Linked DNA regions of Oreochromis niloticus. The protein of the gene in region 2 purifies or fractionates together with the protein of the main gene of each other region. This does not show direct contact. Links are inferred from orthologs where the notes say so. Each region holds a gene or a part of one and is shown on either strand. Other genes may lie near its edges.

Region 1 (10,713 bases), on a different chromosome or scaffold from region 2:
GGGGGTTTTATACTGATCGTACTGCAAAAAAGGGAAGAGCAGAGTTTTCGTTAAAGGTCTTGTCCAAAATTAACTAGCAGGCAGAGACAGATGTGGGTGTGGTCACGCACTCGGCCGTAGACGGGGTTGGCAGCAGCCAGTACAGAGCAGCGGGCATTGAGACGGGCGTGGATACCGGCCTTGGCGATTGTTACACGGCCCTGCTCCATCACCTCGTGGATGGCTGTGCGGTCCATGTCGGACATCTTGTCGAACTCGTCGATGCACACCACGCCGCGGTCCGCCAGCACCATGGCCCCAGCCTCTAGACGCCGCTCGCCTGGCGGAGGACAAATGTTGGTATTGAGCAGGGAGAAATGCACTTACAGCAGGTGTTTCCACGTGTTTAACACGTTAGCTCATGTTAGCTCATGCTAACAGGGACAAACAGTGTAGCTAACAGCACATTGCTCATGTGCCACATCCATCGTCACTACAACAGGCAACACAAAGCAAAGATGTAAAACATTTTCTGACTACAGTAAGACCTGACATGGTGGAGGCTCGCTGTAATGTAGCTGTGCTGGCTGCACTTACAGAGGTCCTTTACTTGTTTAGGTCAAACAAGATTGGGGGACATTAGTTACCCGTCTCCTGATCCGTGGTGACGGCAGCGGTCAGACCCACACCAGATGAACCGCGTCCAGTCGTAGGTATAGCTCGGGGTGCTGTGTGGAGAACGTAACGCAGGAGCTGGGATTTGGCCACCGATGGGTCACCTGGGAAACACCAACACACCATTACCCCCACCCCAATCAGAACTGAACTACCATCATGTCCACGTGTGAGTCCTTGAGTTTGTCTTTGTCTCTTCAGTCAGCACAGTCGTACAGGTAGCCATTCCCTGTGGTGTACCACAAGGAACAAGTCTAGGTCCCTTTTCACTGGTGTCTCTCACAGATACTGATTTATGGCACAAACACATTTTATTGTTCAGTTCTACCAACTGCATTGGTCAGGTTTCCCTCTGCCTTTTGTCCATGAATGTAAAGCTTGTAGCCAGAAATTTAGAACAATTTGAGTCACCATAAAAATTTGAAGAGAGTCCTGAATTAAACCAACGCTCTCACACTTCCACACTTGAGTGCTACAACTCCAACAGCTACTTCAGAGTGTAGCTTCTTGCAGGGTTTACCATTGCCCCAATCCAATGTGGGTTTTTTCCTCTTCCCACTGCTTTTTAAAGTACATCTGGCTTTGGCCAGAAAGCTCCAGCCAGTGTGCAGCTGTGGTTCCTAAACATGGGGCCCTTCTCCCTGTTCCAAAGGGAGAAATTAAATGTAGAGTCGAGCTTGCTTGTGCCTCAGGACTCGCCTTTGGCCTTTGGCCTGAGGAGATAAGACTTTCCTTTGCCGTTTCATTCATTTGAACTCTACTTGTATCGGCCACATTGGCCGTTGTGTTTTGAACAAACTGGTTTCATAGGTGCCGTATAAATAAGAGCTAGGACGATGTCCTCATACCGATGAGCAGGATGTTGATGTCTCCTCTGATTCGCGAGCCGTTCTCGAGGACCTTCTCCACGCCTCCCAGCAGCATGCAGAGGATGGCCTTCTTGATGTACTCGTGGCCGTGGATACTGGGAGCCAAGGAACGTGCGAGCTGATCGAAGACATCCTACAAAGGACGAAGATTTAAAGGGTTTGGTTTCACATTTAGTTAGGATGACTCCTCCACGTGTGAGAAGGCAGCCAAGATGACTCACTTTGGAACGAGTCCGACTGAAGTTCCTGATTTTGGCCACGTCGTCAGCAGTGAAGCACGGAGACACCTCCTTGCTCATTTGTTTGATGTGGCAGGCGATCATGATGGTCCTTTGATGAAAGGAGAAGGGACGGGTTAGAAGACAAATGGTAGGCAAGTGAGGTAAACCCATTAAGCCCAAGTTATTCCAGCTGACCTGAACGTGCCAGAGGTGAATCCTCCCTTCTTGCCAGGCAGACAGCGGTACGTCCCAACCACCTGCACCCGGTCTCCTGGTTTGACTGCATCCACCAGGTCGTTGTCCAAAATGATGTCCACAGAGCGCGGAAGCTGGCCAGCGGGAGCTTTCTCAGGCATCTCCTGCACTGTGATGGTTTGGTGGTCCTTGTAGATGGACAGCCCAAACTCTGTCTCCAGAGGATTGTTCTCTTCGTCCTATGTCAAGTCAAACAGGAAACAAGATAAATACATAAGTATAAAGACAGCGGTCACCCCCAAGTCTACAGAGAATGAGGCACATTTACCTTGGTGGGGTAAATGGCACTGGAGGGGAAGGCATCCAGGGAGGTCAGGTCCGTGTACTTCCTCTCCATCGTCTTCTTAGTGGCTGGACAGTAGTGAACGCTGCGCACTACTTTGGGACGGACGAGGGAACCTACAGGGACGAAGCAAACAGGAGGCATTAACATTTCACATACTTTCATACAGACTTTGTAAAACTTAAAGATTACACGAATAAATAAAGCCAATAAACTCACACTTTGTAATGATGCCCTCCACACAAACCATGCTGCCCAGCAGTCGGGAGGTGAGCGTTCGAGGAGAGACATGCTTAGATCCAAAGCTCCCCTCCAGGCCGATGAAGAACTCCTCGTACTGCTTGGCGTAGGTGCCGTCAACAGAGGCCACCAGGTCCTTCAGGGCCCGCTGGAAGGCCAGCAGCTCTTCAAATGCATTGTTCATCAGTCTGCAAAGACAAACCATGGATTTTATTATCAAGGCTTTCAGCGTGTTTTCAAGGGCTATGACATCCTGTACTCACTAAAACCGAACCCCCCCCCCTTTTTTCTTTTTTTTTTTTTTTATTTACTCAGTATGGAAACAGGAATCAAGCTCAAAGGTTTGACAACAGGAAGAAGAATGTGTATGAATCAAGTCTGGTTTTGGACATAAAGTAAAGCTGCGTTAAACCTGTATTCTTTCTGCTGGCCAGTAGGGGGCAGTGATCCTTCAGGTCTCAGAAAAAAAGTCTTAGTATTGAACTGTATGGCAAACAGCACTTTGGCTTCAGTATACACTTCCCTGCTGCTTGTTTCAAGTTATACTGAGCACAAAATCATGATCATTTTGTAAATCATGGTCCCATTCAAAGCCCGAATTAACCTGGATGTGTTTAAGAGGTCACCAGTCTGAGCATCCCTCAGTTTTTCCAGCCAGATTCAGCCTTTGCTCCTTATAACAAGTTTCAAAAAAGGTAAGTGAAGCTCAAAGGCTCAGTCTGAGCCCAGCTGATGGCTACAGCCATCTTTAAATACAGTCTGTGGATATACTATTTTGAAACCTGTTGAGTTTCTAAGTAAGCCTCAGCACGAAGAGAAAAACTCAGCATGTTTTTCCATCTAAATATTCATTTTTTTAAAAACAGTAAAGATTAATGGAACCATTCAACATAACATAATCACAATGTTGTAGGGAGGCCAACTGCCATCAACTATGACGTCATTTTGGACATTTCAAACCTTTTCGTGGTAATAACTCAGTAACACTGCTCTCTGTATCGGACCAGTACCCGTTTGTGTATCTCAAGCAATAAGCCAAGCATTGGGGGGTGAAGCAGTCCTGCGTGTGGGGCCCAGCACAACTTCGTGTGCGCCATCAGCCAGTTTTCCTGTCTTACTTTGCAGCTCGGGCCTCGTTGCGTCTCCTCAGGTCGTTGATGTTGACGATGAGCCGAGCCTTATTCTCGCTGATCATGTCCCGGACTTTGCTCTGATAGATGCCCTGGTCTTGCTGCAGGTATGCACAGAAGAAACGGGCACACGTTTGATGACGTCGCTTACCGACTAAAATTACGAGTATGACTGAAAAACATCAACTTTGAAAACAGACTTTTTATACCTAATATCTGCAATCTGACAGCAGCATTTTTTTTTCTGTACTATACCAAATTACAGCTCTTTTGTTGTGACCGCATGTTTTGTCATCTCAGCTCCAGACAAAGACTTTAGGCGAATTTAATAAAAACAGACTTACGTCGTCGTCCAGAAAGTCCAGGTAGTCCCTCTGAGCCTCCCTCATCTCCCGGTCATCTGCCACGTCGGTTGCCATTATGCGCGCTTCGTTATTGTTACTGAAAAGTCGGTAAAATGCCGCACAGCCTTCCGCTCCGACTGCTCCGCTTCAGTCAAGCCGCACAACTGAAGGGTTTTCGCGCCACTACGTACCAGCCGCGAGCTCAGCGTGACACTCGATTGGTCAATTCGGCACGCACCGCTTTACATAGTCGGCGGGTAAACGTACAACTGTCCAATACGGGCCTCGTGTTACCACGTGACTCCGTCCCCCCTGAAAAACTCCCGCGAAAACCCATCAGGAAGGGGCTGGCTGCTAAAAATGAACAAAAGGGATTTTTCATGATTGCCCAGCAGATGGCGACATAAACACATGCCTACATTTTTTTAGTGGGACATTTATTTGAAGCTTTAAAAAATAAAGCAGTTGGTGTCAAATATATAAACATAGCAAGACTTTTAATAAGAAGAAAGACAAATGGAGCATGCATGTGTTCTTTCAAATTAAAGTTACATTTCACTCTTCCACTGATAAACATTAAGCATTCTTTCAGACAATCTGCATTTAATTAAAAGTTTTCATATAAAATAGGACCGAAAATGAACAATAATAACTTGCATACATACTGTGATTTTCAGTATTTTATTTTTTTATTTTTATGTGGACATCTCCTGTGCTTTGACCAAACATTATAGACTTCAAGGAACTTGATGGTTTTCATGATCTGGAGTTTACATTTTGGAAAAATTCATTAGCTCCAATAAATTTATTGAAGAAAAACATCAGCTCAGTTTGAGGAGGTCATACGGGACCTTTTCTCAGATTTGACTGATTCTGTGTGTAATGACTCTACGCTATAGTCCTCAAACATAAAATATAAAGACTGTCACGGACAAGAGTCTATTTGGATTCCACTTCCATTCACAGTGTAACTAATCGTTTTCCCCACTGTAAGTGGAAAAACATGTCATGTCCCCCTCACTGTGGAAGGTTAATGTCTTTACCAGTTGTTTTGCCTGCTAGTTTTTACAAATACCTTCTAATCTGCACTGCTTTGCATTTCAGGCATGAATAACATGTTTTATCTATCATCACAGACTGTTTTATGTCTTTCATCAGCATCAATATCCATCTAAAGCCTTTAAATTTCATTTCACCTGCTATATTTGGTCCACTATGCAATCAGGAATATCTCATCAGCATTATAATCAGAATAATTACTTTTTTCTTTTTTTAATCCGAATGCCCATTACTGGCATCATGCACTGACTAATAGGTTCCCAAAAGATTATCCTAAATTTGGATCATGCTATTGTAATTATTCTCCTGTGATCATCATTTCCTCACCAAAATCATTCACTGTTTCTTAAGGGTGAAATTTTGCAGGAATCATTTTAGTGCTTTTGCTTAATATGTTGTCAAATTACCAAAGTGTGGTCAGAAACCAAAAACATGTTTGTGGGGCACGAGGATGACACAACGAATTCTGAGCATCTCGCACGTCATTTCTGCAGAATTCTTCATCTTTTTCATTTAATATTATCCCTCCAGTGTAAACGTGGGCGTGATTCCCTGTTCTGTCCTATTTTTTGATTGCTTGGTTTTCAGTGAGTTTATAATTCCATCTCACATCGGGCTGTTTTGTGTCTTTTGTCTGGGGAAGTTACCAAATGTTGACGTGTCACTTGTCTCAGGAGGGCTTCTGCTCATGTTCAAACTTTCTGCACACTGAAAATACACCACACGCTTCTGTGTTTGGGGACGAGTTTAGGAATCATGCACGTCTCATCTGTTTTGTAAAGGCTGAACACAACATTAGCTTAGGAGAAGTTAGCAATAACACTGAAATACTTCATTTCCACGGATGCTGTTTTTGCCCGGTCTCTTTCTTGCTGTTGAATGACCTCTGACCTAAATTGAGGTGAGTCAGGCCTGCAGCTCTTTAGATATTTTTTTTGGTTCTTTTGTGACCTCCTGGATGAGTCGTTGATGCTCTTGGAGCAACTTTGGTAGGCTGGTTCACCACTGTTTATAGTTTTCTCCAGTTAGATTTAGCCTTAGAAAATACTTTTTAACCTTTGCGTGTTAATGACTTTCTTTAGGTGATGGCTTGACGTGGGGCGATTACTGTTTCATATAGGGCAGGTTTGGATAGCATTTTGTTTTTCCTTAATAAATGAAATTATCATTTATAAACTGCATTCTGTTTTTGGCCATCTATGTTAGTTTGATGATCTCAAACATGTGACAAAAATGCAAACACGAAGAAATCAGGAATGGAGCAAATACTTTTTCACAGCACTGACTGTAATCCCTGGAACTTCACACCTGTGCTCCGAGGCACAGGTGTGGAAAATGTTGCTATAACCGACTCAGCATGATCACATGTAGGACAAAGAGTTAATGTGAGTGCAACTCCCTCACCAAGTAAATACAATAATATATGTATAAGTGGTCTTATGGTCTTGTTACACTCACTGGTTAGAGTTTGGGTGTGAGGGATAAACCATCATAGACATTACAAAGGTGGGAAACATGGCACTTAAATAAATCTAAATAGAAATCTCATATGTCCTGATGGATGAATCAGAACAAATGAAATAATAAGGTCAACTAATAACAGCAAATGAGACCTGATTTTGGTTAAATATGTTGGCCACATATAGTGGGACATGTGATCACCTCAGGTTACCAGGATACTGTCACATTCTCATTACCTCTGAGTGCACACCAAAGGGAAACCGTCTTAGTGCAGTGTGCAGTGCAGAACAGTAGATGGAGACACATACGTGCATGTATACGTTAACTTTGACCTCTATCGTGTCACCATTACAAGGCTTTGGCCACGATGTGCCTTCAGTCGCTTAAACAGTTGTTATCAACTTAATAATAATTAATGATTACAAACAAAAACAATCCAGATAAAAAATAATAACAACAAGCTACGCACGTGTTTTAATAAGTGTGCCGATAAACTGGTCTTCTAATGAGAAGGTGAATGCAAACACTGCGGACACACTGAGCTCCGGAGAGTAACAGTCACAGCCCTCAAAGCGTTGGTGACTGCATTTGAGGGCGTTTCTGGTCACTTTGACCCCGCCCACCCCTCCATTTCTCCGGCCTCTCAGGTTAGTAGTTTGAAGCCTTTTCCCTCCGCCCTGCAGTGTTGGAAACATCTTGTTAAACCAGCATGTGGTAGTTCCCCACCTGTGTTTGTATGAGAAGAAGCGCTGCTGCACACCTTTTATTCCACCTTCTTGCAGTGACGCGTGAGTCCAGACGGGCAACGGGTGTCCTGTGGTGCAGGTATGTTTCTTTTTTCTGTCGTCATATAAATATATGTATGATGGAAGAAACGCGGTCTATTTTTTCTGTGTGGCTCATGGAGCTTCTCCGTTTTAATGTTGAAATAAAAGACGGGAAACCAACGTGTTACCCCTCTTTTTTTAATGCGTAAAAAAGCGCACGTGCGGCCGGGGTTACCTTGGACAAACTTGAATGGGCTCCTAACATAAAGCGGCTCAGGTCAAAAGGCCCTTCGGAAGCTCTAAATGGGTGCCGGTGTTCATGGTCAAGGGGAAAAGAGGAAGATTTTAGCTGTTATGTCACCAGCAGAGAGGGGCGCACCCTTTTAGGAGGAGATCCTGCTCCCATCCAGAATGCAGCTTCACCACAGGTGGGTGATGGTTACAGGTTTGACTGCATAGCTGCTTTTCCGGTGCACATGACACAAAAAGAGAAGAATGTCTGGCTTACATAATTAAAGGTCTCCTGTTGGCTGTTTTTCTTTTGGCGACTGAAAGCTCTTAATTGGAATGTCACAGGAGTCCAAGCCTGGACCAACAGTGGAAACACTGTGGACTGCAGCGGCTTGGTTTCAGGGTTTTCCAGCCCAGTCTCTGTTGGCATGTTTTTGGCTGGTTTTGTGAGATTTTTGATCCCCTCAACACAAAAATGTCCCCGTCGTGGGATCAATAAAGTCTTATCTTATATTTTGTTTTGTATCTTAGATTTATCCCCACCCTCCTGCCACTGATCCACAGCGCAGATTCGTGCATCTAAAAATTCAGAATGTGACATCAAAGCACACCGCGTGCTCCTGTGAGGTGTAATTTAACGTGTCGAGTCCTCTGCTTTAAGGCCTGCATTAATCTAATCTCTCCCACAGGGTGCTCTGTCCTCTGGTTCTTCATCGTCAAGATGTCGACTGAGGTTTTGCAGCGGCTCAGCACCATAACACTGAGCACCAAGCACCTGCGTCGTCTCCCTCACCTCTCAGACTTCCTCCCTTTCTCTTTACCATCACCCAGCCCCACCGTCACTGCCTCCCACGTACCCAGCCTGTTCCGGGAACCCTACATCCTGTCAGGATACCGTCCTGTCCAGCAAGACTGGCGCTGCTATCTTCTCAGCCTCTTCCAGAAACATAATGAGTCCCTGAACGTGTGGACCCACTTGCTGGCCGGTCCTGTCCTGCTGCTCCGCTGGTGGGCCAATGTAGACACCCTGGGGTACACCTTGGATACGGCCTCGCTACCTCTGCTCCTGTTCTTGGTGTCATCTCTCACATATCTGTACCTCAGTGTGGCGGCTCATCTCCTGCAATCTCACTCTGAACGCGCACACTACTTCTTCTTCTTCTTGGACTACGTGGGTGTGGCCGTGTATCAGTACGGGTGTTCGCTCGGCCACTATTTCTACGCGTCTGAGCCAGCGTGGCGAGAACGCGTCGGGGTGATGTTTCTGCCTGGCGCCGCCTTCTTTGGGTGGCTCTCCTGCACCGGTTGCTGTTATGCCAAGTTTAGGTACAGGCGGCCATATCCGCCTCAGCGTAAAGTCTGCCAGCTGATCCCCACCGGCTTAGCGTACGTGCTGGATATCAGCCCCATAGCCCACCGCCTGCTCACTGTCTCCTGGTCACAGGAGCCCTCGCTGCCCTTCCACGCTCTCCAGATCGCCTGCTTCCTCTTGTCTGCAGTCTTCTTCTCTTGCCCCATCCCGGAGCGCTTCTTTCCAGGCCACTGTGACTTTGCAGGCCAGGGTCACCAAATCTTCCACATGCTTCTGTCCCTGTGCACCTTGTCCCAGCTGGAGGCTTTGTTCCAGGACTACGCCCAGCGGAGGGATACAGTGGTGGAGTTATTTGGGGAGTGGCAGTTGTGGTGGGCGTGCGTATCCTTCCCCGTCCTGTTAGTGTGCTGCATCCTGACGGCGCTGATCGCAGTGAAGCACATGAGCAAGGCACTGCAGAGTAAAGACGAGTGAGAGCGCAACAAAGAAAAATCAAAGAGCAAATCATCATAATTTTAATATTAAAACCAAGTCATGTGTTTAAAAATCCATATATTTACTTTTGTCTATAAAAATAAAAAAATGTATCTTATCACTGAAATACTTGAACAATAAAATACTCTCAAACTTCTTCCGGTCTGGTATATCTGAAGGTTTAACTGCTGATTCATGAAAGAAATAGTTGCCATAATTTGCTAACTACAGCTGAGTAAAGTTTTCCACAGTGAGTCACCCTCCCATGATACTGATCACAGAGGCTCAGAGTAATCCAGTAGCACGATAACCTAAAATAGTCTCTGGATGCTGTTGGAAACGTATCGAGAACAACAAACATTTATACTGTAGATCACGTCCAGAGAAGATCAACTCGATGCGCTTTTGTCCTCGTCTGAAATTCACGTGAGAGACCAGAAACATGATAAACTTTGGAGGTTGTGTGGAACGGGCTGTGAGTGACGTGTGTTTATAGGCACTATAATGGAAGGTAAACACTATATCTTGTCGACCCTGTTCGTTCCCATTGAGGAAACCAGGTTATTGTATCTGAGGTTTCGGCCATTCTTTGTTCCGCTAGGCCGACTGTATGTCGAGCACTTTAAGGCTGCGGCCACACCTTTTGTATCTATTATGTGAAGAAAGTTTCCCCCTGTGAGAGTTTACGAGACGGCCCAGAATGGGAGCCAGAGTCAGGCTCCTTTTAAAGGAATAGTTCAACATTTTGTGAGGCTCTTCTACTCCAGTTTAATTAGAAAATTCATGCCGCCCTCATTACTGTCAGCTTATCTCAAAGAGGAGGGAGGGAGTCGATTTGACTTTGTCCAAAGGTAACAAAGGTCAGCTATCAGGTTGAATGAGTCACCACTTTATATGTGGTTGTTTGACTTCTTAGAAAAGGATCGTGTGAATGAAAAGTTGCGGTTTTAAACAGGGTTATGTGCTGGACCCTGGCTGGTACGGTGGTTTCCTCTAGTTGGGTTACTTTTAAGGTTGAAAGTCTATGTTTAGCAGCAGTGAACAATATTTGATTCCTTACCTGTATTCATTTGATTGTGAGTGCACTGGCTGTCTAGCATGTAGACTTGTCTGTGATAGGTTAGCTGATTGATCTCTGTCCCAAAGCAGATCCATAAAGACTCGGTGCTGATTTCTCCTTTGGATGGGTCTTTATGTCTTTTCACGTTTCCTGTGCACAGCAAACATGCTCCACATGACAAACATCACACTGCATCCTTTAAAAGTGCTACTGGGCAGATTTTGTAGCTCTTGGGCACAATTGGACCTTTTTCCCAAACGATTCTGAACTTGTTCGATCTTTCTGCTGGAAGTCTCAGGAAAGCAATTAAGTATACGTCATTTGAAATACATAACCCAAATATGTGTCCCAGC
Region 2 (10,875 bases):
CTTTACTTTTTCTACTATCAGTCGTTATTAATGTCAATATTAATATCAGCCAATAATATCAGCCTGTTGGGCTCGAGTCTAACCTGGTGAGGCCTTCTGCAAGAATCTTTGCAGAGCGATGAAATCTAAAAAACTGCCTTGCGTCCATTCCAGTACTTTCAGCAAACACCCTCCAGGAGCTTGCTGACATTTGTAAGTCATCATAATACTAGGATTATTTTGTCTTATACCGAGGTGATGATTGTTATTCAAGTGTAATTTCACTTCTAAGGAGCTGCACGTCAGGTTCAGATTTTTAGATTACAGATGTTATGGAGAACACGAGGATCAGAGAGGACTGCATATCTGAAAGGAGCTTATAAGTTCATTTTTAACCTATTTATTTAAAAACACGATTTCCAGACTACCCGTGATCATTCTGGTAGAGAGTGATTTCGTTTTAGCCAAAAGAATCTCTGAGCAAAGCAAAACACCGACTATGTTATCACGTTATGCTTATCCAATTCAGATGGGGCTAGAGGTTGTCCCAGCAGTCACCGAGGAAGACAGGGGTCACCCTGGACAGGTCGGCACTGTTTTAGGGCTAACACACAGAGACCACAGAGACCACCTTTCACATCCACTCCTCACACCAATTTAGAATCGCCAGTTAAACTAAGTAGCCCGTCTTTGGACTGCGGGAGAAAGCAGGAGTACCGGAAAGAACCCACCGAGCTACACGGAGAATATCCTGAGTGTTAGATTTGAACCCAGGCTCTTTTTGCTGTGAGGCAACAGTGCTAAAAGTGCACAGAAATTAAGGATTCTCATGCTTCCTCCAGCACCGAGGACGGCTGAAGGAGGGACTGTGTATCGTTAAGATGGCGCACAGTCACCGCAAATAATATTTATGTAGTCAAAGCAGTTTAAATGTGTCGCCCACATTGATTCATCATTAATAACTGATCTGTCTGCAGTGCTGGAAGCATCGGGTTATTTAATTAATGTTTTTTTTCATACAGTTTGAATTCATCTCTCCAGGGGAATGAAGTCAAACGTGCCAAAAGTGTCTCTTCTTCAAGTTGTCAAGTGAAATCTAGACAACCCCAGTACTCAGGCTTATTTAGCAGAATGCTATGCAAATGAGATTACATTCAGCTATCTCATTTACATCTGTGAAAAAAAAAAAAACAACCCTGCTGCGATACTTATTTTTGTAGCAGGATTATGAAATATTTCCCTGGATGCTTACTGGCTTATGATTGGCATGTAACATACACGAGGAAAAAGAATGAAGAAACTTGGAGGCCTGCTACTCTACTGTTTGTCCTTACAAGCACTGTTGTCCTCCGAGGTGGCGGCAGAGGGCAGCAGGGGGTTGTTGTGCTGCAGCTGCTTGGCGTAGAGCATGTGGAGGCGTGGAACGAGCGAGGCTGGCGGGCAATGCACCCTCTGCTCCTCCGCCGTCTCCATGCACTCAGTGGGATCCACCAGGCTTGAAGAGGCGTCTCTGTACGGAAACGTCAACAATGAGAAACAAACTGAGCGGATCAGGGCAGGGAGGAAAATCAAAGTATGTGTCTTACTTCTCGTCGGCTAAGGCGCTGAGAGCGGGACTGACGGAGAGGATCCCGTAGACCTCAAGCATGTCGTTCAGTTTGAAGCTGTCCCAGTCCTTGTAGACCTGCCAATGATACCCACATTATAGCATGTGTCCTAAAACTCTCCTCATGATAGCTATATAGTCTCTAAAATCACCTCTTTGTTCAAAACGCTTCAGTACAGGAAGAGGAATAAACTGACACAGCACACCTTGACTAGGCAGGAAGGGCCTTTCTCTCCCGGCAGGGGGAAGTTGAGGTCGAGGTGGGAGGCAGATGTCGTCTGGCTGGAAGGAGCTTCTGTCTCCTGCCGCTTACAGTCGCCGTTGCCGTGATGTTCTGTGGGACTCTGAGGACCTGCAGCGAGGAAAAATAAAGCCATGCTGATAAAGTTCGTCCTTGACCACGAGATCTACAGATGAGGACAAATTTATTACCCCCTAGGAAATTTAAAGTCGTTGTCAAAATTCTCCCCAAGTGCTTTTTAAATAGAGCAAAGGATTTTCAACATAGCATTTCTAAACATGCTATTTTCTTTTATAAAGCACAAGTTATTTCTATTTGCACAATAATGCGAGGAAAAAAGGAGTCTAGACGATGCTCACAAGGCAAGGACGGATCCACAAAGTTATCAAAGCGTTTCAAAAATGACAGTAATGACACAATTAAATGATGTAACTGATCAAGAGCAGCTATAAGTTGGGCCTTATGCTAACGCTCTGAACACTCGTACCAGCGTGCGCTTCCCTCTGCTTCTGTGGCTGCGTGTCCATGTCGTCCATGTCGTCGTCTTCCTCGTAGCTTCGTTTCTGTCTGCTTGGCACGTACGAGGTGGAAGGCACCACTCTTGCTTGGCTGCTGTTGGCATACCTGTGCAACAGAGTTAAGGACAACTCGGAGCAGCAGATCGCAAGATAAAAATGCACATTTCACGAATGCCAGCTGCGTAAAGAGCGATTCTGTGTGGTCTTTTGCAAGCTGAGGATATCTCTTTGACCCAGGGGTTTTCTCCAGGGATTGGCACACAGTAGAAAGTCTGTCGTTCTGCAGTCACGGTGTTTTTAGAGTTAAAATCCACCTGCAGATAAAACACTCGTTAACAACCAAGTTGGAGCTAAAATGAGCCATCTATAGCGAATGAGTGTTTGAAGAGACTCACCCCGCATTCTGTCACGTCTTTATACTTCCCACATCGCAACGTCTGTGAAAGAATAGACAGAAAAAGAGGATGAAAGATGAAAACAGCTAAGAGCTTATCAAAGGGCTGTACTCATACCAATAACAGCAGACGAGAGGATAAAGAAGTGCGTACTTTAGCCTGTGTGGCTGGATCGACAGTCTCATAGACTCCCATGTAGAACTCTGGATCAAACATGTCTTGGATGAAACAGCGAAATTTCACGAGGCTGTTGGGCTTCAGGTAATGCATGGGGATGTCGTTGAGAGATGGGACCTGCATCAAAGTGTGCAGAAACAGATTAGGAGCCTGACTTTCGTGCACATGTTTTTGTTTAAAGTGTAATTTGTATTACCAAGGTGTGAGCGTCCTTCTCTTTCAGCCGATCTTTGAAGAACTCCACGGCTCTCGCCTCCCAGCCAGAGTTTGGATCACTCTGGGAAGCAGCTGAAATATCAAGAAGGCCTAATGTTATTGGCAAATCAAAACTCAAAGTTGGATAAATGGTTGTTGTAGCGCAAAATTAGCTTAGCTGGGCTGCATTAGATAAAAATGTTCCCTTTCAAGCCTCGCTCAGTGTCTCACTATGGAAAGCGCCCTCTGGTGTGAGCAATCACCACAGACCAATCCCCCAACCCCTTATAACAGCCCCCGTCCCCACACCAGGCATTTTCAAAGTACGTCCTCGCAAAGATCAAAGGTGCTCCTCCCACTTGTTTAACCTTTTGCGTTCAAAACGGTCTTAATTTTTTATGGCACTGATTCAAAGTGCTGGAAAGATTCCTTGGAGATCTTGGTCAATATTGACGTGACAGCATCACACAGTTGCTGCAGATTTGTCAGTCATGATGTGAATCTCCTGTTCCACCACAGGCTGATGTACACCGTGGGCAACAACACTCAGTCTGGCTGTGGTTTTTAAATGATGCTCAGCTGGTACTAAGGGGCCTAAAGTGTGAAAATAAGATATCCCTCACACATCATTACACCACCAGCAACCTGAAATTGGTGATACAAGGCAGGACGTAGCCATGCTTTCATGTTGTTTATGCCAAATTGTGATCCTACCATCCAAATTCTGCAGCAGAAATCAAGACTCAGGCTGACCCAATCTTCTAGCTGACAGAAGAAGCGTTCTGCTGCTGTAGCACATCTGCCTCACGGTTTGACATGTTGTACATTTACAGATGCTCTTCTGCAAATCCTAGTTGTAACAAGTAGTCATTCGAGTTACTTTGTTGCGTTCCTATCAGCTCAAAGCAGACAAACCATTCTCCTCTGATCTCAGACATCATCAAGGCATTTCCACCAGACAACTGGTCCTCACTGGATATTTTCTCTTCTTCTGACCATTTTTCTGTAAGCCCTAGAGATGGTTGTATGGGAAACTCTCAGTATATCAGCAGTTTTTGAAATACTCAAAGCAGCTTGTCTGGCACCAACAACTATACCACATTCAAAGTCACTTAAAACCGTTCATCCAATTCTCATGCTCGGTCGTCTTGCCCATGTCTGCGTGGTTAAATGCACTTGTTGTTGCCATGGAACTGCATATATTAGAGAGATTAGATATATGTCTTACTGAAGAGTTCAACAGATGTACCTAATGATATGACTAGTGAGTGTATAAATGTAATATGAAGAGCAAAGAAGTGAGACAGGGTAAAGAGAAAACCTGTTATAATGTAGGGGTGTAGAAGGAAAAAATAGATAAAAGATTTACCAGAAATACATGATGCAACATGTCTAAAAGATATAAGCAACTTTTATTAATCTTAAATATAACCGCCCCACCAGTGACACGTAAATGTCAGTCCTTTAAAATTTTAAGGAATATGTGGATTTTTCTGTATATTCTTTAAAATCCGTCTCGGTCTTGATGTGTGGCGCTGGCGTGTGTACAGTTACTACACAAAAAAGTGTAAGAAGTCATTTGCTTTTTCGAAGAGAAAGAAAAAAGAAACCACACACAGCCACCTGCAATGTGCAAAGTTGGCATGGTACGTAGTCAGAGAGCTAACTAGCTAGGTTCACGCGTTAGCCCTACAGAGTGAAGTTCCGGTGTCTTACCAAACATCCCCTCAACAACACCAAAGGGGTCGTTAATCCAGTCATGTGTGGAAGGCATGGCTTAGATGGTGATAAAGGTCCGGAGATTAGAAAATATATCAAAGTAAAATCACAGTGAAAACACCAGTTTGTTGACTTTCCCCATACACGGGATCGCTGAAGTGAAGGGCGGGAAATTTGCGTCACAAGACGCAGAGCGTAGTGGGTTTGTTTTGGGTACGGGGACCAACCGGAGCACGGAGGTGTTACTCGTCATAACTCTTCTTCAGGATAGGCTGGGTGTTTTTCGTTTGACTTTAAATTCCTGTTCTAGTGAAGAAAAAAAAGAAATAGTCTTTAATATAGAGCTACTTCTATTTTTTAAAGATACAGTTTGTTGTTGTTTTTTATTTAAAAGATTAAAATATTACAGTGTAAGTAATCATCCTGGTCTATAGGTGGCAGTGGTGAGCGAGAGTGTTTGTTGTAGCGTCAACAAAAGAACTGTGGCGAAATTGCCTGCGTGATTTTAGTAGATCTGAATAATATGTGCTACGCTGCTTGTAGTCGTGCAATCTCCGGTTGATGCTTTATAGCTCAGCAAAATCTGCGAGCCCAGTGAAAAAAACAAAAACGCTCATTGGAGAACTGAGCGTGTCCTGTCTGCCTGCTCCGGTAGTGGCTACGTGTAATTCTCGGGGAAAATGGCAGATAGAAAAAATAATAATGCTCCAAACACCAGTGCAAATTTACTATTCAGCGCCGCTCCGGAGTTTAACTTCAATTTGCCTTTCATGCCAGTGAGTCAGGCCACTGGTCCGGCGGTGCTGTCAGGAGGTGAGACGAGATGCCGACTGAGGAAATGTCCAAACATTTGTGGGTTCGTTAGCAAGCTAAGCTAGTTAGCAAATTGGGTTCCCGTATCGCTTACGGGGCTTACTGAGTGTAAAAGTAACAGAAAGAGAAAGAAACCTTGTCCGAGTAGCGAAGCGGTTTTTAGGCGTAAGGTTAGCCTAACTGACAGCGATGTGTTGTGGTCAAACTTGCAGCTGTGTGATGTTTTATTTTGCACGTATGTTTCAGGGTCACAGCCAAAACAGTGCTCTGAGTTAAATGGCAAGACAACGTCCTGTTACAGGAATTTAATGATGCGACATTCTGCTGATCAAGCGCCTGATAAAGATGTTTCCTCTTTTTATATTTTAAGGACTAATCGGTAGAAAGCTACAGCTCTGAGTATATATTCTCTAGCTCTGTGATTTAATGTGTGTCAGATGTTTTTGCATAGATACTAAAACATGTGTTACACCCTTATTCTCCATGTCGGTGTGCAGTAGATGACTCCACTGATGTTGGAGAAGAAGACAGCTTTGTAGGTCAGACGTCTGGGAATGGACATCCCCCATCTACGTTCAGCTACTTCTCCAGTCCCATAACCAGTACTGACCCATTTGCATCCATAGGCCAGTCTCCATGCCCCCCGACAGTGCTGTCTGCAGCCCCGACCACAACAGGACACGTTTCTGTTCCCAGCAGTATCAGCATGGTTCCACCACAACCCCCACCTGCCAGCTCACAAATTAACCCTACTCCTCCGATGTTTGGTAGTGCAGTTTACCAGAGCCCCATGGGGCGTCACACTCCTCCCCCTACCACAATGACCCCACCGCCTCCCCAGATGCAGCCGCAGAGCCACAACCCGTACAGACACACCCCCACCAGCAGCAGAGCTAGTCCTTATATCCCAGCTCCGGAAATCCTGCCACCAACGCACACGCCTCAGCAGAATCCCTACTTGGTCAGCTCACCACCGCAAACGTTCCCCCCATCAGGACCCATGTATACAAAGGTAAGTGTATCACACCGGTGTTGTTGATCACTGGGTTTATTAACTTATTTGGGTAGTTAAATCACATCTTTCTCTCTTCAGCCTCCTCCCACACAGATTCAGGGCCCTCCACCTCCACTTCCAGCCACCACAACTGGAGCCGTCGTTCCTGCTGTTCCCATGATGCCGTACAACTACAACGTCTATGAGCCAGTTCAGCCTCACTGGTTCTACTGCAAGCAGGTGGAGTCAAAAAGCGTCTGGCTTCCTTTCAGTATCTTTGACTCCCTTCAGCTTGAGGAGACGTACAACTCTGGTACGACAAGACAAATTGCAAATTTGTCTTTGGGGTCCTGAGAATCTCATCTTGACCTGAGCTGCACAGTGAAGTTTTTTTTGTTTTTGTTTTTTTTTTTTCATTCTTTCAGTTCAACCAGATCCAGAAAGTGTGATCGTACGCACGGACGGAGGGAGGTATGACGTGCAGCTTTATGACCGCATACGGACTGCAGTGTACTGGGAGGAGGAACCTACAGAGGTCCGACGCTGCACCTGGTTCTACAAAGGAGATACAGATAGTCGCTTTATTCCTTACTCTGAGGAGTTCAGCGATAAGCTCGAGGTTTGTCTCAAAAATACTGTTTTTTTAAAACCCTCTGCATTGTTCTTTATTGGTTTAGTTTAGGCTGCACTGTTGTAAAAGGAAATTATAATATTGTATTATTGCATCATCTCTAGGCTGAATATAAGAAAGCTGTGTCTACCAACCAGTGGCACCGCAGGCTGGAGTTCCCCTCAGGGGAAACTATTGTGATGCACAATCCAAAGGTAAACCCTTGTTTGATTATTGTGCTGTAGCGGTCTGATGATGTAATTGGCTTTATAGTTCATGAGCATTGATCTGTTTGCCTTTGTAGGTCATAGTGCAATTTCAGCCCTCCTGCGTACCAGATGAGTGGGGCACAACTCAGGACGGGCAGACCAGACCCAGAGTGGTGAAGAGAGGGATCGATGATGACCACGATGAAGTGCCTGATGGTAGACAAGTTCCGCTGTGCTCAAAATAATTTGCTCTAAGTGTAAACACAGTTTGTATCATCCACTAAGTGTAATTTTAGGAAATGGAAAGTATGATAAGGTATTCCAGAGGCATTAGAAGGATCATAATCAGTTTTTTTGATAGCTGGTTAGGTGCTAAGTGAAGTATAATGCAGCCTCATTCTGACTGCAGTTCACATTTTATGCACATATTTAAGATTAGAGACAAGTGACCGTGCGCACCTCTTTCCAGGTGAGCTCTCAACGGTGGATCATCTTGTGTTCATGGTTCATGGAATTGGCCCCGTGTGTGACTTGAGATTTCGGAGCATGATTGAGTGTGGTGAGTAATGAAGTAATGAGCAGTCACACTGCAGCCGTGTAACGATGTGTGCGAAGGAAACGTTAAAAATGCTGTTTTGTCGTGCTTTCAGTGGACGACTTCCGTAATGTGTCGCTGAAGCTGCTGCAGAGCCATTTTAAGAAATCCCTGGATGAGCACGCTATCAGCAGAGTGGAGTTTTTGCCTGTGCAGTGGCACACGGCTTTACATGGAGATGCCACAGGGGTGGACAGGTGAGGGGGACAAATGTTTAACACCAAAGAGGCCTGACACACATGTGGTGATATTATAAATAGCTCCTGTCTGGATGAAAACACTGGAGCTACTCTCTTATTTTAAATTGACATTGTTTATCACCTGGAAATCCTTCATCATTACTCAGAGATGGGTAAACAGAACATTTATCAGATACTGTCATTATGTACTGGAGATAATTGGTGGCTCAGTTCACCAGACATCCTTGCAGGACCTTAACAGACTTATTTCTTGTTTGTCTTTGCAGGAGGATAAAGAAGATCACTTTGCCCAGCACCGGGCGTTTACGTCACTTTACCAATGAGACCTTGTTAGATGTGCTTTTCTACAACAGTCCCACTTACTGCCAGACCATCATGGACACTGTTGCTCAAGAGATTAACCGACTCTATGCCCTGTTCATGGAGAGGAACCCGGACTTCAGAGGTGCAGTGTCAGTGGCAGGACACAGCTTAGGTAATAAACATGTTTAATCAGCTTCTAACCTTTCTGTTTTTTCCACCATTACTTAATTTTTCTGCATGTTTCTTCTTGCAGGTTCTTTGATTCTCTTTGATCTGCTTTCAAATCAGAAGAATGCCTCACCCGGAGGGGCCATGCCAACCATGCCTGCTGCTAACGGAGAGGTCAAACAGGTCACGCCCTGGCTAATTTAAATAAATTACAATATACTGTAAAAATAAAACGAACACCGTGCTCTTTTCCGTTTATTTGTAAATGAGATGAATATTTTCAGAATAAAAGTTCAGTATGTAATTGTAAATTTTTTATCCTCATATCAGGTGACGGCCCCCGTTGCACAGGAAAATAGTGCCGTCACGCCTCCAGCTGTGGAGGAGCAGCCCAGAGAGGATGGGGAGGAGTTTGAGGATCTTGCTGCTATGCTGGAACATCTGGGCCTGTCTGAATACAAGAGTACCTTTGATGAGGAGAAGATTGACATTGAATCTTTTGTAAGAACACAGTCCACCTTTTATTTTACAGACTGCTGTGAGTCAAGATGTGTTTTAAAAGTATAAGAAATCTAGTTATAAATGTAAACTGTATAAGGTCATTTGAGAACATCTGGGGTTTTATGCGATATAATGTAATTCATCTTATTCTGACCCTTTTATATTCTCTTAGCTTATGTGCACGATTGAGGACCTGAAGGAGATGGGTATCCCACTTGGTCCCAGGAAAAAAATTGCCAAATTTGTCAAAGAAAGAGTGAATAAGCAGGTAAGTTTGTCTGCTGAGTATCTGCGAGGCTTGCAAAAGTTATTGTGATTATGACCCCACCCCCCTCATGGTTTCATGTTCACAGGCTGCACGTCAGGCAGCTCAGGAGAACAAAAAAGAGGTCAAAGAGGTCACTCAGACTGCAGCACCTCCACCAGCAGCTGCAACATCAGCAGCTGAAGTTCCCTCTCATCCTACTGTGAAGAAGCTTCCAGTGGGCAGCACCGTCTCCTCTGTCCATGTGGACTACAATTACTTTGAAGTTGGAACGGGGCAGGTAAACACATCTGTCTGTCAGCAACAATGAGCTGCTATTCTGAAGCAGAGCTGGCTGACATTTAATCAATCCTCTGCAGGTGTCTGTCATCTACCACACTCTGGACTTTGAGCCTGTGAATTTCTTTGCCTTGGGTTCTCCAATCGGCATGTTCCTGACTGTACGAGGACTTGAGAAGATCGAAGAGGCATACCAGCTGCCCACATGCAAGGGATTCTTCAATATTTATCATCCAGTATGTGTTTGTGTAACATGTTTTATTGTTTCTGGGTCAGATTTGTACGTTATTCTGGTGTGCACGGGCATTTCATTCACTAGGCTAATGGTTTAGACTCTAATTTTAATAATGTCTTTCAGCTGGACCCAGTGGCTTACAGGATTGAGCCCATGATAATGCCAGACCTGGACTTGAAGCCTGTTTTGATCCCACATCACAAAGGACGGAAGAGGCTTCATCTTGGTATGGACCCAAACACTCAGAGCAGAGCTGTCATTGTTTTAGTCACATATGAGATTAAGTTTCAAGCAAAAGCAACAAAAAAAAACAGTTTTTAACTGTGAATCCTGACAGTTACAGATACAGAGTTAATTACTGAACCTAAACTAAACTGTTCAGTATTTTTGGCCTCTCTGCCACTTAAGGGTGGAGCGCCCCAATATCTGCGGTTAACAGCACAAAGACTCTGTTCTTGCACTTCAATTGCTATGAAGCAACGTAGTGGCAAATAAAACTGATTCGTTTTTTCCTTGGCTGTGCAGAAAAACATTAAGGTGACGGCAAAATTAAGTTTCTCGTGGTGGTTGCTTTTTTTTTTTTTTTTTTAGTTTATGTAGGTTTCATTGGTTTGGTGGAAATGGGTTTAGGCGTGATTCTGTGTGTTTCAGAGCTAAAGGAGTCTCTCTCCAGGATGGGCTCTGACCTGAAGCAGGGCTTCATCAGCTCCTTGAGGACTGCCTGGCAGACCCTCAATGACTTTGCTCGTGCTCACACCTCGAACGCCCAACTTCAGGCCCAGCTGGCCATCGTGGCCAATCAGATCGAAGAGGAAGAAAAGCAACAAGTGCACGAGGGTGAGTGCGGCTCAGTTGTGAGTCTTCGTTTGACTA
Region 3 (10,475 bases), about 19 Mb from region 2:
GTAGCATGCCATCATCATCAAAAAGTACATTTTTGGATGACTGAAGAATTTTATATTTCTAAATCCTGACAAAAATAAAATAAATAATCAAGCTAACTTCATAGATAACTTGAGATTAAATTGTTAAAATTGACTCATCACCATACCATTCAAACTCCATTGTTTGGACAAAAATTAAATACATAGACACTGTGATAACTCTTAAAACAATACTACATGAAACTGGGTAGCTGCATTAAATGCAGTGGGTAATCATCTTACTGCACTATAAGTCGCAGCAAGTCAGGCTGTGACTGGATCTCCTGAATAGCATACAGTTCCTTCAGACTGAACTCTTCCCCACCACAGCGATCTTCAACTGTCCCGCTTGAACCTTGACCTCCCATCTTGGACTGCTTGCCTACATATTTAGAGAAAGTTCCAGTTCATTAAATAGTTAAGACTAAAGCCTATTAATATAAATGTGAAGATCTCAAAGAGAATACCTTTTGTATTGCTGACAGAAGTAGCTTCAATGTAGAGGAGGAACATACACTGATCCTTATTTCCTCTATAAGTGCCTGGACCTAAAAAACACAGTCAAACTATGTTTGATGTCTACGTAGGAGGGCACTTCTTCCAGCAAACTCCAACTTCAAAGGCTTAGAGTTTTTGTTGAATAAATGCTTGATTTAGTTGAGACATTTTTAATATTTCACTACATATTTCGAATTGGAGACTGCACCGGCATTTCTTTGGCTTAACTTTTCACAATGATCAGAATGTGTGTTTTTGTACCATCATTGCTAACTCTCACTATCCCTGTCACAGTAACAGTGTCTCCAGGCACACAGCTGTCACAGAGGTCAGAGGTCAGGTGACACTCCACTGTCCGTGGGATTCGTCCAGTCTCCCTCTGCTCTCCACTTATCAACTCCTGCACCCTGAAGTGGCACAAAATAACTCAAATTAAATTGATCAGGGATTCATGACAAAGGTTATTTGCATGAGATGTGACCTTTAAAGACAATACTTCATATCTGTGAACTGCTGATAAAGCACAATGTGCAAAGAACAAGTCCAGAGTGACACATAAAACCTACACACAGATGCACAGTAAAAGGTACACACTAAATAATACAAGCAAAAAAACAAAAAGTAAAATCCCTTAATATAAATGAATGATAACTTGCATACAAAGATTCTTCATGAATCAACTTAAAATTAAATGTAATTGACATGGGGTTAAGGCAGGTTTTAGATCTCACCCTGGGTCAACACACCTGAATCACATGATTAGCTAATAACCAGTCCTCTGGAGAACTTCAAGACATGTTGAGAAGGTAATTTATCCATTTAAATCAGCTGTGATGGATCAAGGACACATCTAAAACCTGCAGGGACACCGGCCCTCGTGGACTGAGATTGGGGACCCCTGGGTTAGGGTGATTATAATATGGACCGGCAACAGAGTAGTTTACGGACATGCTGTATATACCTCAAAAATACATGCAACAGAAAGGCTTTTCTTCGGAGGAGCTTTCATGTATTTTTACATGTACATTTAGATATCAGTACATGGCATCCTTTCCCGCTCTCAAATAACAACTGCAACAACCATTTTTGTTAGCTATGTCTTACTGTAGTTTTTCACTGTACATGATATACTCACTTGATGATCTGCCAGTCTACAGTCTGTGTAAGAGGAGAATTGCGGATGGGGATGAAGGTATGACTGCGACAGTCAGGCTTTCCGCACTAGGTTATAAAACACAAACAAGAGATGTGTGAATGCTGACAGGAAAGCCATATGCATGTATACATTATAACTTACAGCCTTTAAGTACAGGAAGAATGTTGCAGAAAAAAGTTAGCGTGTAAGTGTGCGTGTACATACTTTGGTAGGTGTAGTGTATTTCCCATGCTGCAGAGCCAGAGACAGTGTGGTCGAGCAGGTCCGACACCTGAAGGCCAACCTGGTGCATAGCGGTCTAATACTGCTCACTCTCACCACTGTTCCCTTCACACAAACTAGCCGGCCAAACACACTGGCACGTAACATCCGCAGTGGAGTCAGTGGCTCATAGTTATAGAGCCTGCGGGTGATTCACACAAATGCAGTCATCCTTATTCATTGTCATTCAAAGTGGCTGTCAGGAAAACAACTCATTATTCTTCACCGAATGAAATACCTCGCACTAATATGGGGAATATTGATGACTGGTGTAGCAACAGGAAACTCTTCCTCTTGCAGCTCAGCAGCTTGCTTCTGCAAATCCAGAGTCAAGACCTGAATGATGTGCAGAGAGTTTTCAGTCAGGGTTTGGGTTTTTAGAATTACAGAGACTTAGAATTTGGGCATTTGTTATAATATGAACATGTATCATTAAGATTGTAACATGCCGCTAGCATAAAATGTGTGGTAGGGTCTTTTGTGTGCGTACCTGGTGAATAGCCAATCCCAAACAGTTCAGCATCACCTCTGGTTGTTGTTTCAGTTGTGTGACTATGTCAGGAAGTGCGTGACGCACAGTTTTGTCTGCAATCAAGTCAGCATAATCAACCAGGACACTTCCCTGACGCTCAATTTCATCCTGTACACAAAAACAAAGGTCACTTTAAGTGACATGGAAACAGACAAAGAAAATAATACAGATGGATGAGAAATTAAAGGAAAAAAACCCATACTAAGTCTCTTATTAGGGTCTGATAGCTTGGCCACCAAGTAGTGCCACTGTGACAAATGGACAAATGATAACTCAAAGAGCCAGTGTGTTGTGCAGTGAGTTCGTCTGACGAACCTTGTCAAACAGATGAATCCTGAAAGTGAAATATTTCTCAAACACTTTGATCTTCTCCACATTAGGTCCACTCTCTATAAATCCTGGACATTAAAAGACATGGTGATTACAGGCACAGACAAAGACGCATTATCCTGACTATTAAATGTGACGTCTTTCTAAACTTATTGTAACAGTGTGACGGGGACCCATTAATGCACACATACCATCTGTGAAGTAGAGTGTCCATCCTTTGTACGGACACAATGCATCAAGAGTAGTCTGACAAAGGACTGAAGAGACAGTTGAGCAGTTGGTTATTTTGTTGCAGCTGTTCATTCCACACAACCACAAATGTGTGTTTTTTTTGTGTGTTTTTAGACATAGCAGTAACACTAATATGTAACATGTATTTTTCCAACAGAAAAATAAAAATATAGTTCTACTAATGGTTTCTTACAAAGTACACTGTTTGTGTCAGAAACTCACCTCTCTGCGCTCTGTAGGTATGGTTTCCTGCTCCACCTCTCCAACCTCCTCCTGATCCTCCTCTCCATGGTCTACCTCTCCATCCTCCACCCCCTCCTCTCCAGCCACCACCACTCCCTCGTCCTCTCCATCCGCCACCACCACCACCACTACCTCCTCCTCTCCATCCACCGCCGCCGCCACCACTTCCACTACCACCTCCTCTCCATCCACCGCCGCCGCCACCACTTCCACTCCCTCCTCCTCCTCTGCCTCCTCTAGAAGAGCCTCTCCTGGAATCCTGTCCACTCATTACTTTCCTAAGACAATGAAAGGAGGAACGAAAATAAGTGACAGTATTAACAAAACACTGAGCAGCTACATGTATTTTACCAGATAAACACACAAGCACAGCAGGCAGTGATACAATAGTTATCTGATACTACTGGAGGACCAATAGTGCTATCTAGGCACAGCGACAGGCATTGAGCTGAACTGAAAATATTTACTACAGCAAATGTTGAAATAGATATATGTGTTGATTGGCTCTACTTTTCATAAGATAAGATAAGATAAGATAAGATGACCTTTATTAGTCCCACAGGTGGGAAATTTGTTTTGTTACAGCAAAAGTGCAAAGTTATAGTCAACATTGCAGATTTAAGATCAACTTTAACATTTAAAAAAAACTGTTGGGTAACTTAACTGCCCTTCAGTTTTAAAAACCCTACAAGTCTAACTACACATTTCAGGTTACAAAGCTGCGGGCTAATGTTTCATGTAACGTAACGTTATCCTTATTAGCCAACTTACAACTACAATCACCGACTTTTTCCTACACGTTCCGTTCAAAAAGTGACAACAGGTATAAACACACCGTCTGCCTTTTCTTGAACAGAATGAGTAAAATAATCTCACAGTTTAAGAAAGTGCACAATATATTACTCCATTAACCAAAACTGTGTGTTTCGGTGTCACAAAATTCACGAAGACTGACATTACCAAACAAAAATTCCCTCCACGAAGAAGCTTCTTCTTCTTCTTCTAATATTATTTTGGCAGATATGCCTTTAAGGCGCTTTACTGCCCCCCAGAGGATAGCGAGACTACTACAGAATTCTTATTCGCCTGCAGGCTCCATACTCTGCATACTCTGAGCAGGAATTCAAATCCTGTCAGTTTCTCCAAAGATGTTTGATTTTACCGCGACACTATCCAGCTGTTAAAACGAGCAGATGTACGAGGTAAAGTGCAAACGGATTTCAGTATAAATAGAAACATTAGAACTTGTAACCTCAAAACTGGAAGACTGACTCCAACATCAGAGGTGTATGTCCAGAGTTTTCATTTCTAATCTTGTTCATAGAGGTCATTTCCACTGAAGACGTAAACATCTTCAGCTTTGGGGATTTGATACCTCCAGCTTAGCTTCCTGTTTTTTTGGTTAATGCTGCTGTATCCAAGCCATACATCTTAGCAGCTCTCACTACTATTTTGCAAGCTTTCCCTTTCTCTTGTGCTGCTATCATTCTATCTCAAATGACCCCTGACACTCACCTCCACCTACTCCACTTGCACTTCTTCTTCACCTCTCTTGTGGTGCGCTGTCTGGTGCTTTGGATGGTTGAGTCCAGGTTTTTAAACTCATCCACCTTCATTGTCTCTACTACTTGTAGCTTTACCTTTCACCATTCACACACATCTATTCTGTGTTGCTTCTACTGGCTTTCATTCACCTTCTCTCCTGAGCATATCTCCACCTGTCCAGGGCCCTTCAGCCTGCTCGCTACTCTCATTACAGATCACAAAGTCGCTAGTGACCTGCCTGACCTCAACTTTCAGCCTGTCGATCACCACCATGAAAAAAAAGAGAGCAGATAAGGACCTTGATGTAAACCCACCCTCTCCTTCAACCCATCAGTCACTCCTACCACATAACACAAAACAAAGCCCTCTGCCTCCATCTTCTGGACATTTTATGTCATTACATGAAATAGTAACTCATTTAAAGTTCAATTTAACATTATTGTACAAACAATCCATGTATACGTATTTTAGGGAGTTATTATAAAATTAGTAAAAAAAAGTCTTGAATCACCTTTTATTCAGACTTCAGTACATTTTGTAGTCTTTTTGTAACCTGTACAGTCATTGGTCGGGACTGGCAGATTTTGCAGAGTCAGAATCAGGATTCGAATGCATCGTTGTGCTAAGCATTTGCTCTTCAAAGATGAGCTCCATAGACTCTCTGTAGGCTCCTCTTATTGTGCTTGCCTTGTCTTTTCTTTCTATATTTATTGATTTCTATTATTATTATTGTTCACATGAGTGCACTTGTAATATGGCAATGCCAGAGTTGAAGAAAAATAGCAAGGAAAAAGGGGTAAAATAGGTAAAAATATGATAGCAAGAGGACAGAGCACAAGTGGGAAAATGCAATGGGTCTCCAACTGCTGCACCTGTAAGAAAACACATCCAAAGAAAAGCACCTGAAAAGTGAAGAAATACATGCACTAACCAACAGTCTTGTTGTGTTGTGTGTGTGTGTGTGTGTGTGTGTGTGTGTTGTGTTTGTGATGAAATACTTGATAATGAGGGTGTGAAGGCGCAACAACGCCCTCCAGGAGCCAGAGGCATAGAGAAAGACCCAGGGGACTCAGGCCATCTGCAGCCCAAGAGAGTACTAAAGACCCAAGGCCACACATCTCGATGACAACTGTGTGCACACACCATGGAGGGATGCCCCAGGCAGAGCCCCCGCGGCCAAAGGTCAAGATCCCCAGAGAGTATACTGGATTTCACAAGAACTGCACTGCAAATCAGCAGCAACAGGTCTTTGGTTCAGTTTTGATTTAAATGGTTTTGGTTCGGAAAAGTACCATCGGATTTTGATCTGCAATGCAGTGGCACCTGGAAAGTGTCTGATTACCAGGGGCCACATTTTTCAACATTACAATGATCCCAAACACACTGCCAATGCACTAAAAGCATACCTGGACAGAAAAGCACACAATAAAACACTCAGTCATGGATTGGCCAACATTATTAAAACAGTGTGGAATCATCTAGACAACTGACAACACAACAAAAATCAGCCAACATCCAAAGAACCTTGTGGTGTCCTTCACGAAGTCTGGATAACTATTCCTGAAGCCACTTAAATGAGCTTTGCCTAAAGGAGTTCAGGCTGTGTCAAATGTGTTAAAGAATAAAGGTGGACATATCAAATATTGACTGCCAAGCTTGTTTTTGTCATTTATGCTGCATTTGTATGTATGATTACAGCTGTATATTTCAGTAAACATCTGAATCCATCTCTTATTTTCCTAGAAAAATATAAAGAAATGAAGAGTGGTTCAAGCCTTTTTGCACACTTATTTTTTTTTTTACCAAAAGTAAAATAAACATGTTTGCTTTAAGTGTGTCTTCACACAGACACAGCAAATTCAAACTCAGATGGTTTGAATAATTGTACCATTTAACCCAAAGAGAGATGTTTTTATGTGTGTGATTTTCCATGTACCTTCATAAAATCACATATTTGCATTTCAAAACCTGAGAGGACCTCTGTGAATGGAAATTTATTCAAGATTAGTGAGATTTCACAGCTGAACTAGAAAAATGCAGATCCATCCAAACATCCATGCCAAAAAGAGGGGTAGATGCTTGGCCAAAAACAAGAAGCAAAATGTAGTTTAGAAAGTGACCAGAAAGTGCATTCTTAAACTAAAAGTGGTCCACAGAACAAAAACTGTTTGAAAGCACACACTTTCTCTCTCTCTCTCACACACACCATCTCAAGGGAGTGGTTTTAAGGGGATAGAAAGACAGAATGAACAAGGGGAAAAATCAATACCTGAAGTACTGTGGCCTGGAGTAGTTAGCGGTAATAGCAGAGGGCTGAGAGGGATGGAGACACACACTCACTCACACACAACCTCACACTCACACACAAACACACACACATACAGTAAAGGGAGACAGATTGTGAAACAGGTTGCTGCAGGTTGTTGCTAAGGTCAGAAACAACTCTTGTCAGGGCAGCAGACAAAGAAATAAAGACAGAGGGGGAGATATGTCCTCTAATTCTCTCCTATCATTATCCTCATGGCACTGATAAATGAAATAAGGCTTTTTCCTCCGTGTGTGTGCCTTTGTGATGATAACAGGTCTTTTGTGGAGAGAGATGTAGAAACTGAAGTGCCGGGAGAGAGCTGAAGCACCAGCAGTCGCCGCAGAGAGATGAATGTGCGGACTGCTCCTCTCGGCAAGGTATTTAATCTCTACTTGATCAATCAACAGCAAATCAATGCGAATTCACGGCTATTTGGCAAACAAGGTGAAATCATTTTTCAGCAAAGTTTGTTTTTCAGCCAGACTCGAGAGTTAAGTAGGCGATGAGTCACCGCCGCTGGGTTGTGACATGACAACAATATCTACAGCCTATGTTTAAAATGAGTCTGGGTGTCAGGAGAGAAAGATTTCATTACTTATGGATGTGTTAGGGACGGGACAAGATGGCATAAAGTCAAACTGAGTTATTTTCACAGCAGCAATCCCCTATTTGGATGCTCTGCTTCTATGCTCAGCCATTTGCAGACTCTTCCTCTCGATGATTCAATCAGTTTCTCACCTGGAGTTTGAGTTTGCCACAGTGCTAACCCACAGAGTAACCATAATTTATTTTTTCCCTCAATACAATGTCCCCATTGACATATAGGGCAATGATTTATATCAGATATACAATTTTGTTATGTTCCAAATGTCTTGTTTGCTGCGTCTGCAGCCATCAGATCAGCAATAGATCAGCACTAAAGTGTTCAGGTTTACAAGCACCATAATCTCTGGTGGCCACAAGCTAGTGGAGAAAAACAAATAAAAAGGTGCAAAGATCGAAATACACATTAAATGTATGCTTTGGTAACATTGGATGCTTTGTCTTTTTGGATCACATATGAATTTTTCTTTGTCTTCTTTACAAGACACTTGATATTAGCTGCTTATAAACGTTTAGATGATATAATTTTAGTTTTTGCTGCTTTTTTTCACAGTAGAAAAGACTTTCACTCGTTTTGATGTTTGGTGATAAGTCATACTTTATGGTGAGAAAACTCTCCTAAGTATAATATCCCAGGTTCAGTGGGTGCAATATGGCTCCCCTTGAGGACTGTATTACAGACTGATCAATCGTGGCTCCAGGAGACCAGCATGACTCAATGAGTACAGGCAGGTGGCCATCACCTTTTTGCTGCAAAGAAAAATTGGGTTGTCAAACCATCATTCTCCCTATTTTGCAGAAAGTACTGGGTGTGGAAGCTCACTGGGAGAAATGGTTGGAGGTTTCACAGAAAACACAGTTGCACATAGTTTAACACTGAGAAAAAAGTAACGGTTTTAGTGAAACAACAGTAGTATTGTTTAAATAGTGAAAGCCAAGAAAAGTTTGTTTTTAAACTTTTAGCTCTAAAATGAGGATGTGTTGCAGTGAAAAACAGAACATTATTGTTCCTGTGAGATATTTCTCAGTACTTGCATATAGCTTAGCAGTTAGCTGAGCAGAGCAGTTATGAAGGAAAAACCCTGCAAACTCTGGCATGCATGGCATAAATTCTTCTGAGATGTTAGAGATTTCATTGAAACAGCAGACAGTTTTATGCTTATCAGGACTTCAATTTGGCTTTAAATTAAATTATTAAAAGATTAAAAAAACCATCCTTATTCATGTCGTACTATACCAGCTCTGCAGCCCTTCAGTTTAGCCCCTGCTTGACAGCATTAGCTTCCAGCTCTTTAAGGTCCACCTTTGTAAAAGGCAACTTTCTTTGAACTGGCAGGAGTTGTGGAAGCCTGCAGAGGAAAAGTACTCAAAATCTGTGAGCAACGCATTAAACATTTGAATACGTTTAACCAACAGTGAGGGAGAGCAGCACATACACTGTGCAAAAACAAAGATTAGAGTAGGATGTTTTTGTTTGACAATATCTTTATTATTTTCTTAATGTATTGCACATCCACAATTTTACTCTGTAAATCACATCGACTTTTTTTTTCTGAATGTCTACATGACCCTGTCAGTAAAGTGTATGCATGTTAATTGGCCTTTGTGATGTCACTCATAAACAAAAGATTTGAACAGCAGTTTGATGGGACTTTTGTGTTTGTGTTATGAAGGATATCCACTCTTATTGATATATCAAAGAGCATGAAAACCTGAGCCTGAGAACACTGTCTGAAGTCTGAGCCTATGACTCACAGCAAATACTTGCACATATAGTGACCTTATTTTCTTCCGTCTTTAGCCATGACCTTTTACAGGTACAGAATCAACTCTTTTCCACAAGGTTTAGGTGTGTTTTGGGGAATTTTGGAGGTCAAAAACTAATGTTGGACAAGAGATCCTGGTTTGCAGTCTCTGTTCTAATTCAGCCCAAAGTGTTCTATCAGGTTGAGTTTTGAGCATTAAGAGTTTTTTTCACTGGAACTAAGGAGCCAAGCCCAATTCCTGAACATCAACCCCCTCCACCCCTCTCCACCCTATCCACTACACTTGGCACAAAGCAGTCAGACAAGTACCGTTCTCCTGGCAACCTCCAAACCAACTCACCAGACAGAAAATTGTGATTCATCACTCCAGAGAACTTGAATCCACTGCTCTTGAGTCCAAGGGCTGCATGCTTTACACCACTGCATCCAATGCTTTGCATTGCGCTTGGTGATGTAAGGCTTGGATGCGGTTGCTCTGCTGTGAAACCCATTCCATGAAGCTCAGATCTTACCTAATCTGAAGGCCACATGAGGTTTGGAGGTCTGTAGTGATTGATTCTGCAGAAAGTTGATGACCTCTGTGCACTTTGGCCCTGGGCATCCACTAATAATGCCACTAACAGTTGACTGTGGAATATTTAGTAGCAAGGAAATTACACAACTGGACTAGTTGCATCCTATGACGGTGCCACGCTGGAATTCACTGAACTCCTGAAAGTGACCCACTCTTTCACAAGTGAATGTAGAAGCAGTCTGCATGTCTAGGGTCTTGATTTTATAAACCTGTGGCCACTGAAGTGATTGGAACACCTAAATTCAACACTTTTCACAATATAGTGTGAGTAAAATAGATTCACTTTAAAGTTTATGTAAAATTCATGTAAAATTTTAATTTGCCAATCTCCTTATACAATGAAGGAAAGGGAATGCTTGTATATACGGCACTTCAATAAGCACTGAAGATGAAGGCACACTGGATGTGAG

What was found.
Region 1: the proteins of mcmbp (region 2) and mcm3 purify together in Homo sapiens (affinity purification with mass spectrometry; 10 studies listed by BioGRID and IntAct, counting the BioPlex papers as one, with this or other methods). This does not show direct contact. The link is inferred for Oreochromis niloticus from reciprocal best matches to the Homo sapiens genes MCMBP and MCM3.
Region 3: the proteins of mcmbp (region 2) and mcm8 purify together in Homo sapiens (co-immunoprecipitation; 3 studies listed by BioGRID and IntAct, with this or other methods). This does not show direct contact. The link is inferred for Oreochromis niloticus from reciprocal best matches to the Homo sapiens genes MCMBP and MCM8.

The regions. Positions count from the first base shown.
Region 1 is NC_031980.2:533,943-544,655, reverse strand, and holds the start of mcm3 (DNA replication licensing factor MCM3), read right to left. Parts: upstream 4,231-10,713; 5' UTR 4,072-4,230; coding exon 3,997-4,071; intron 3,754-3,996; coding exon 3,641-3,753; intron 2,711-3,640; coding exon 2,502-2,710; intron 2,399-2,501; coding exon 2,268-2,398; intron 2,179-2,267; coding exon 1,940-2,178; intron 1,854-1,939; coding exon 1,745-1,853; intron 1,657-1,744; coding exon 1,503-1,656; intron 759-1,502; coding exon 627-758; intron 320-626; coding exon 111-319; intron 22-110; coding exon 1-21. Other genes in the region: paqr8 (membrane progestin receptor beta), read left to right, coding at 8,236-9,300. UniProt on the Homo sapiens protein: Acts as a component of the MCM2-7 complex (MCM complex) which is the replicative helicase essential for 'once per cell cycle' DNA replication initiation and elongation in eukaryotic cells.
Region 2 is NC_031978.2:25,388,337-25,399,211, forward strand, and holds the start of mcmbp (mini-chromosome maintenance complex-binding protein), read right to left. Parts: upstream 5,024-10,875; 5' UTR 4,886-5,023; coding exon 4,828-4,885; intron 3,205-4,827; coding exon 3,113-3,204; intron 3,034-3,112; coding exon 2,893-3,033; intron 2,782-2,892; coding exon 2,740-2,781; intron 2,659-2,739; coding exon 2,569-2,658; intron 2,453-2,568; coding exon 2,314-2,452; intron 1,938-2,313; coding exon 1,792-1,937; intron 1,664-1,791; coding exon 1,566-1,663; intron 1,490-1,565; coding exon 1,314-1,489; intron 1-1,313. Other genes in the region: sec23ip (SEC23-interacting protein), read left to right, coding at 5,511-5,643, 6,141-6,655, 6,737-6,950, 7,063-7,256, 7,373-7,462, 7,552-7,672, 7,926-8,015, 8,107-8,248 and 8 more. UniProt on the Homo sapiens protein: Associated component of the MCM complex that acts as a regulator of DNA replication.
Region 3 is NC_031978.2:5,993,358-6,003,832, forward strand, and holds the start of mcm8 (DNA helicase MCM8), read right to left. Parts: upstream 4,295-10,475; 5' UTR 4,230-4,294; exon of another isoform or gene 4,041-4,229; intron 3,548-4,040; 5' UTR 3,541-3,547; coding exon 3,249-3,540; intron 3,053-3,248; coding exon 2,987-3,052; intron 2,864-2,986; coding exon 2,781-2,863; intron 2,574-2,780; coding exon 2,424-2,573; intron 2,270-2,423; coding exon 2,172-2,269; intron 2,076-2,171; coding exon 1,877-2,075; intron 1,738-1,876; coding exon 1,652-1,737; intron 924-1,651; coding exon 778-923; intron 567-777; coding exon 486-566; intron 401-485; coding exon 262-400; intron 1-261. UniProt on the Homo sapiens protein: Component of the MCM8-MCM9 complex, a complex involved in the repair of double-stranded DNA breaks (DBSs) and DNA interstrand cross-links (ICLs) by homologous recombination (HR).